2 linked regions of the Zea mays genome follow. The protein of the gene in region 2 interacts with the protein of the main gene of each other region in a pairwise test. Links are inferred from orthologs where the notes say so. Each region holds a gene or a part of one and is shown on either strand. Other genes may lie near its edges.

Region 1 (4,300 bases), on a different chromosome or scaffold from region 2:
GGATGCGGTATCCAGGGGCGGCAAGCGCCGCTAGGGTTTCGTGCCCAACAAGGCGGCGGTGATGGCAGGTCCAGCGAGGCGTGGGAACGGAGTCTTGGGGAGGTCCAGAGCGAGGGAGAGGGTGCGCCCGACGGCGGAGGTGGAGGCGGAGGGAGGGAGCGGTTGCCAGCGTGCGGAGGAGAACTGCGAACGGGAGGGGGCAGAGGGAGCTTCGCGTGGACGGGGAAGGGGCAGACGGGAGGCGACGCACGCACGACGGCTGACGGGCGACGCACGCAAAACAACGATGTGGGATGGACGGTGGAGATTGAGGATCGGCAGAACGGCAGAACGTAAGGGAGGCAGACTACTCTTACCTTCTTAATAAGTAGTACATATTTGTCTCATGGTGTTCCAGGGTCCAAGGATAAAGATATTATCAATATTTCTAGAGAAAGAGAAAGTAAAGTCACATCTTCAGTCTATGCAGGCTGTTTATTCAGTTTATTCAGTTTCAGTCAATAAGGCTTAGCTTGTAGTGTGTGTGGTCTGAAGCTTGCATGTGCATGTAGAGACTGTTTCTTCGACTTGTGCAGACTGTGCAGTTTTCAACTTGTTTCTTCAGTTGTTTAAGATTGTGCAGACATGTGCTCGTCTCTACTTTGTCAAAAAAAGATAGCGTTATTCAGACTGCAGTTTTCAGCTTGTTTGTTGATTGGGTTTATTCAGTTTTCAGTTTTGAGATAGCGTTATTCAGTTTTCAGTTTTTAGATAGTGTTATTCAGTTTTCAGTTTTCAGATTATTATGGAATAAACGAACAAATATTTGTTGATTGAGTTTAGGGATTGAATTCCTCAATGGATTGGGTGGAAAGCTTGATTCATCCAAACCATATATGAAAAAAATACAGCCCCATAAAATTCCTATGGTGCCGAACAGGGCCAAGATTCTGTTAAGACTGGGTTGGGAATTTACTTGTGCTATAGGCCCTGTTTGGCACAACTTATTTTCAGCTTATTCACAAATTTAAGCCGAAGTTCTGCCAAACAGATAGCTTCTGCAGCAGCTTATCAGTTCAGCTGCTTCTCCAAATGAACTAAAAGCAATAAGCAGAAGCTGCTTTTTACCAGCTTATCAGATAAGCTGCTTTTTCAACAAGCAGCAGCTGTACCAAACAGGGCCATAATAGCTTCCCCACGTGAGAGATGCCCAAGGAATGTCTTCTTTGTTGAAGAATTTGTAAACATACATGATAGATAAATTAGAATACCATATGTCTCATTATATTTCGTGCCCATGGTCTTATTGGATAATCTTATCAGGGCTAATTTAGAAAATCTATTTTCTCAACGAAATTCTATTTTTCCAAAAAAATTAGTTTATATTTTAAAAAAATAGAAATCACTTGGAAAAAAATATAGTTCTCAAACAGATTCCCTTATGCCCTCAACAGATTCCCTTTTTTCAACAGTTTTTTTTGAGGCAGACAACATGCACCCCCCCACCCCGCACCCAACCCCACAAAAAAAAAGGCCGTGTAAAAAAGGGAAAAAGAAAAAACCAGAGCAACGCAGCCGCAGGCTGGGTGAGCGGCGCGGGTCTTCGTCGGCCGGCCCCTTCACCGGTGGCGAGCATCCACCAGACCACCAGGTACGCCCCCACTCCTTTCGCTTCCCTGTGCGGAACCGAGGCACCCCAAATCTAAATCTACACTTTCCGATTCGCAACCGTTACATGCATATTATACCCAGTAATTACAATTTCACCCCTCCAAACAGTGGATGCGCCCCTGCCCCCCATGCCCCAGGTCGAGTCGGCCACTGCCTCGGAGGCGCCGCCGCCGCAGGACGCATGGCTCGTCGAGCTCGGCAGTCGCCTCCCGCAGTGGGAGTCGCTGCGGGATTCCTCCAAGGTACAGTCTACAGATGCCCCTGTTTTCTCCCATCCTAGGGTTTGTTCTGCTGTATGGTAGCGCTTTGAGATGCCACATAATTTCTAAGTTCTACGTGATGTGAGGTGCTGGAGATGGAGACTCGAAATCCCTCGCAAGCATATGGGATTTTAGTTTCCCCGAGGGCGAGGTCAACTAATTTGATTATTGCTAATTGTCGCTAGATTTTCTGTTCTGGGTATGGTTTTGCTTATGTAGATAGGTATGGAATGTCTCAAGCACTCGGAGGCATTATTTAGTTGTGAATTATGATGGTTGTTAATTCTGGTGTTGCTGCTGGCTCCTGGTTCTTCATTTTACTAACATGAAAAGGCTTAGAGGTTCTTAAGTAAAACAAGTTTTGCGATTGTCTGTCAGAACAGGCAGTGGCGGACCCAGGATTTCTTCAAGTCTAGGCAAATCGAGAACTAGGCAAGACAATGATGCTTGCAGTTGCAGGCCCTGAGAACAAGCATGATGCTTGCAGTTGCAGGCACCTAGCGCACTTAGGGGGTGTTTGGTTCCCAACTACTAAACTTTAGAACTTTTAGTCCCTAAAATAGGCAAATAGCAAACAGGGTGAGTAAAATAGCTCTTCCAAATAGGATTTATAGGGACTATAGTTTAGTCCCTAAAGTTTAGTAGGGTGACTAAAGGAACCAAACACCCCCTTAATTTGGGATGTAATGCCATTTTTTTTCTTACGCAGGTCATTATCCCGATTTCAATATCTAGGGTGAACCAGTTTGATGCTGCAAGGCTAGATGTTGAGATGTCGGCCATGTTGAAAGAGCAGCTAGTCAAAGTGTTCTCTTTGATGAAGGTGCTTGCTTTATTAACTTTGCTGATTTTTGTGTTGTTTGAGGCTTGCATAGAACTTAAGTGTGCTGCTAACTGTTGCTTTCAGTTTTGATGCCTTCTTTTCATATCAGCCAGGACTCTTATTCCAATATGAGCCTGAACTTGATGCTTTCCTTGAGTTCCTCATCTGGAGGTTCTCAATTTGGGCTGACAAGCCTACCCCTGGCAATGCACTGATGAACCTGAGGTACAGAGATGAGCGGGCAGCACCCATCACTGGAAAAGAAGGTATCTCTATCAAAGTTTATTTCAATATTTTTCTGACAGCCACTACCAGGGGGCATAGGAACTAGGATGTGCATCACTGCATTGTTTTTCTTACTGCTGCACACAATTAGAAAGTTACTAGTTTATCTCATAATCTGTTAGTTCGTTATTACTCATGATTAGTTGAGTATCTTTATTATTGTAAAAAAGTTGCATATGTTTAATATTCTTTGTTTATGGATATGCTCCTTAGTATTCATGTCTTCCACCATCTACATAAAAGATAGGACTGTCACAATGTATCCTTTATGTTCAAACAATGAAAATGGCTAACCATCTGCATTCTCTTGTCTAAAGTTTTCTTCATCTATGTCCATCCTCTTATGTTCAAGTGTCTCTTCCCCTCAATATGCACCCTTTTGCTCCCCTTATCATATTTACATGAACACATCAAATTACAGCTTGGTTGGAGCTTTTTTTTTGCATTGCATGCTATAGGCATTCTCATTGCCTTTATAAAAGCAAAAGTTGAAGTTAACTCTGCAATTGAACTGGATCACGCCTTTGTAATCTTATACACATTAGCTCATTTGTAACATTCCCAGGAGTTTATTTGCTACCGCTTTGTGTTGTTGGCTACTGATATGTAGATGAGTATTATCTGAGCAACATCTAATGGGTTCCATTTGCTTTTCAGTTAGAACAGGTTTGGAAGGACCTGGGCTTTCTGTTTCTCAAAAGATATTTTATTGTATTAGCTTTGTTGGTGGCCAATATGTATGGTCACGATTACAATCTTTTTCTGCTTTCCGTCGATGGGGCGATTCTGAACAGGTTAACCCTGACTCCTTCCTGAAAACTTACAATTATAGTTCACTGGTTTTAGTATAACTTAATATTAATTTTTCTATTTCATGATGTAGAGACCACTAGCTCGCCGTGCTTGGGCGTTGATGCGGAATGCTGAAGTATTTTATAGGGCTGCTTCATTCTTTAACCTATTATTGTTTCTTTATGGTGGAAGGTACCTTCCTATTCCTGTTTAATTATGGTCCTTTCTTGTATCATGAGGATGGTAGAAATTATCATTAATTATCATGGCTGTAGCCGGTGGTGCCTAGTTTAGCAAAGTTAACTATCTATCTGGAGATTAAATATTGCCAACATGTGCAGCATATACTGTCCACTGATAGGAAATTGACCAATGACAGTGTATTTGAATGAGCTAGATCAGCATGATTTGTGGGAAAATCGAAAGCTGCTCTTTTTTAATAGATTATCATCCTGTTCAATTTGTAGTTATTATGAAATTTATATGACAC
Region 2 (4,020 bases):
GGAACTGGCAGGAGCAGCAGTGGTAGGTTCTTGGTTGGCTGCAGGTGCAGTAGATGTTGGTGATAGCACAGCACCACGTACCATGTGGATTGTATGGTCTGTCTCCACACCTTTAAAAAGATACAATATAAGGTCACAAGGGATAACAAAAACAGAATAAGGGAGCACTGCTTGGTGAAGCTCCTAAATCAGGCAACAGCTTGCCAAATCAAAATATAAAAAATGCTACGATTCAGACACGAAAGTGTTTCCATCGCCAAACTAACAAAATTCAGAAGTTCCTTTGCAAGTGAGATCAAAATCTATAGGTGTAAATAAAAACACAAAAAAAAAACATAATAAAATCCCCACTGTTGATATTTGATGTTCTACCAAAGAACTCAGTTATGCATCATAAACAAATTTAAGTTTCATGTTTGGCTAGTACTATTTGGCAAGTGGTAACAGTCTACCTCAGCTTTGACAAATGAGGATTCTACAAAAGATTCAAACTGCTGGTTTACTGAACATGAATTGCTGGTGAATCAGAAATGCAACATGAAAACCCTACATAATCTATTGTGTTAGCAAAAAAAACAACAGTATGTCTGATGTACAAGATCAAACGCTTCTAAACCTGCTGTATGAAACATAGACAAGTTCTCTCTATATATCAGAAGTTTTAAATGTTGTCATTGAGAGCGCAATTTATAACAGTAACATCAAGACAAACCATTTAAATATGATCAGGTATTTGTGGGTGCAGATAAAAATAGGTTGTGTACAAAAAGTTTCGATGGGCATAGATCAAATTTGTAAAGCATTGAGGCTGTGATATCTTTCAGATATATCTTTTCCATTTCATATTGAACCATTCTGTTTACGGAGATTGAACACGTGAATAATGCCCCCTAAATAGAAAGAATAGTTCGTGTTTGCATCTAAAGGGTGTTTGGTTTCTAGGGACTAATTTTTAGTCCCTCTATATTATTCCATTTTAGTCCCTAAATTGCCAAATACGGAAACTAAAAATCTATTAGTTTCCGTATTTGGCAATTTAGGGACACTAAAATGGAATAAAATGGAGGGACTAAAAATTAGTCCCTAGAAACCAAACACCCCTTAAAATACATCAAAAGTAAGGCTAATGCTTACCGCTGACATGTGGTCACGATAAAAAGCGTTGACAAGAAGCGTTTGTTACCAATGCAAGGCCCTTTTTGAATGTACTAGAGCTAATAGTTAACTGCTAAAATTAGCTAGACATCCAAACAACCCAACTAATAGTTAGCTATTAGCTACTTTTAGGGGGTGTTTGAATGCACTAGAGATAATAGTTAGTGGCTAAAACTAGCTAAAGACATCCAAACACCCTATCTAATAGTTCAACTATTAGCTATTTTTAGTAATTAGCTAGTAGTTAGCTAACTATTTGTTAGCTAGCTAATTCTACTAGTATATTTTTAGCTAACTATTAGCTCTAGTGCATTCAAACACCCTCTTAGTTTGAGACATCCAAACACCCCAGCTAGTAGTCCAGGTAACTATTAGCTACATTCTCAACTACCCATTAGTTGCTAGTTGGTTCAACCCAGCTAAAATTAGCTAATAGTTAGCCAACTATTTGTTAGGGGGTGTTTGAATGCACTAGAGCTAATTGTTAGCGGCTAAAATTAGCCGGAGACATCCAAACACCCTAGCTAATAGTTCAGCTATTAGCTATTCTTAGTAAAGTAGGTAATAGTTAGTTAGCTATTTATTAGTTAGCTAATTTCACTAGTAACTTTTTAGCCAACTAACATTAGCTCTAGTGCATTCAAACACCCGTTTAGTTAGCTAATACTAGCAACTTTTTAGCCAGCTAACTATTAGCCCTAATGCATTCAAATGGGGCCTTAAACTATGAGTAAGAACTCAAAATAGAAATGTTGATCCTTCCAAGTCACAGATCACTAAGATGCCACCGTGGTATCAGCATATATACATTATGGAATGCAGAAGTTGCAGTCACCTGCTGACAAACTCTACTACCCTAACCAGTAACCACGCAGCAAGGGTGCAGTATACACATGGCTTCAGCATATTCAGAACTACATTTATGCCAAGGAATCTAAGCAGCACGTAGTTCTCTCCTACTGCGTCTTTGCTATTGTAAACTGCCAACCAACGTGCGAGCCTGCGCTAAGTAGTAGTACACACTGCACCTACCACGGAGCATTCCGAATGTACGGAATCATCCATGACCATCATCGCCAAGGAGCAAACCTCCTTGTCTTTCCGGCAGCAAATATATTAACAGACATTGCATCTAGTACACAAGCAAGGGAGAATCTAAAGTGCAACATCGCAGGCCGCACGCATGACTAACCAAATCGACCACAGCCCACAGCGTAACACGGGAAACCACACACCACCAAGGGTAGAGCACTCTCAGGATGATAGGGGAAAGCACGCACCGTAGCTGGCTAGGGTTTGCTCGTCCTTCAAGATCCGGCCCTTGTAGATCAGCCGCTGCTGCGGCGCCGGCACGTCGCAGCTGTGGGCGACGATCGCCTTAAACGCCCCGACGGTGGCGCCCAGGTCGGTCCGCACGGTGAACTTGGAGCCGTTGGTGCACCGGATGTGGAGCGTGGCCTGCGCGTCCGCGGGCTCGCCGCCGGCGTCGGCGTCCCCTCCGCCCATGCCCTGGCCCTAGGATCGATCCGCCCGGGGCGGCTGCCTCGTGGCTCCGATTCGGCTCTCGGCGCGCGTCAAGCGCGTGCGACGCGGCGGAGAGGGAGGTGGAGGACTCGTGGTCGTGGCCCCCTTCGGCTCGCTATTTTGGAGTTCGTGCGCTGGGGGTGTCGGTCACGTGCCTGCCGTGTGCGAGGATGAAGAAGGCAACGCACCCGGCACCACACAAGGACAGGCCACACGGGACGGGACGGGACGGATGAATAATGACGTTGGTGGGGAGACGGACGATAACTGCGCGACAGTGATGGATGGCCGTGATTCCTTGCGTGCTGTCAGCTGTGGGTAGGCTAGACATCGGGTCGTCGACGTGATGGCTTGTTATTATAACGAGCTAAAAGATTTACTCGGCTCGACTCGTTTGGCAGGTCAATAAGCTTATGAGCCAGTGGATATTAAAACAACCACAAACATGAGCATTCATATAATTATATTATAAAATAGAAATTGGCTTATTCAATCAAACAAACAAAAAATTACATGCTTCTAGTCATAAAAACAAGAAATTTTGTGTCAACATGTCACGGGTGGCCGGCGACGAGGGATTGGAGGAAGAAGAGATGCCCGCGGGCCATATATGTGACTTGAAAGGGAGAGGTTTGACCGTCGGTGACCGGAAGCGGAACCGTGGCACGGACGAAAAGACGGTGGAAGGGGTGCAAGGTTGCCGGAGCTGCAGTCCATGGGGTGCCGAGGTTGGCGCGTGTAGCGGTCCACCGTGGCACCATCCGCAGAAGAGCGAGTCCCTTGGGGGCGTTTGGTTACTTGTATGGGTGAGCCTGACTCGTATCTAGTGAGCCTGGCTCAGACTGGACTGGCTGAGTGCATGCAGTATAGCGTGTTTGGTTGTGTGTATGTGGCCAGTCTGGTTCACAAGAGATGTTGTTTGGTTGCTTGCATGAGTACATGGTGCATGAGTTAAAAAAATTGTTAAATAAATTAAAAAATCTATTAATAGACACTAATTATATGGTAAATTGCTTAATAGATACTAATTACATGTTAATATACACTAATTATATATTAATCTTAATCAAGTAATTTTTTTATTTGAAATATATATAGTATGAGTGGTCTAGTTTCGTTCGCAAAAATGTCAGGAACGCGGATATGAAATCGGTTCGGTGATTAAATCTTTTAATTAGACGATATAATGAAAAAACCAATTAAAAACGTGTCTCGATATGCGTGCACGAGTAAAGAGCTGGCTGAGCGGAGCCTGGCCGCGCGCGTGCGGCCGCGCGATGCGTTTCTGCCGGGCCTGGCTCGCGGCGCTTTAAGTTTCGTGCTAGCCTGTCTCGTGCGATA

What was found.
Region 1: the proteins of Ubiquitin domain-containing protein DSK2a (region 2) and peroxisome assembly factor 1 interact in binary tests that used the Arabidopsis thaliana proteins (3 or more experiments, as listed by UniProt). The link is inferred for Zea mays from reciprocal best matches to the Arabidopsis thaliana genes AT2G17190 and TED3.

What each region holds. Positions count from the first base shown.
Region 1 is NC_050096.1:176,258,533-176,262,832, forward strand, and holds the start of peroxisome assembly factor 1, read left to right. Parts: upstream 1-1,497; 5' UTR 1,498-1,630; intron 1,631-1,663; exon of another isoform or gene 1,664-1,758; 5' UTR 1,759-1,778; coding exon 1,779-1,892; intron 1,893-2,619; coding exon 2,620-2,733; intron 2,734-2,842; coding exon 2,843-2,999; intron 3,000-3,675; coding exon 3,676-3,812; intron 3,813-3,901; coding exon 3,902-4,002; intron 4,003-4,300. UniProt on the Arabidopsis thaliana protein: E3 ubiquitin-protein ligase component of a retrotranslocation channel required for peroxisome organization by mediating export of the PEX5 receptor from peroxisomes to the cytosol, thereby promoting PEX5 recycling.
Region 2 is NC_050104.1:158,047,961-158,051,980, forward strand, and holds the start of Ubiquitin domain-containing protein DSK2a, read right to left. Parts: upstream 2,806-4,020; 5' UTR 2,662-2,805; coding exon 2,436-2,661; intron 111-2,435; coding exon 1-110. UniProt on the Arabidopsis thaliana protein: Binds and presumably selects ubiquitin-conjugates for destruction. Prefers multiubiquitin chains rather than single ubiquitins, with a binding affinity for 'Lys-48'-linked ubiquitin chains.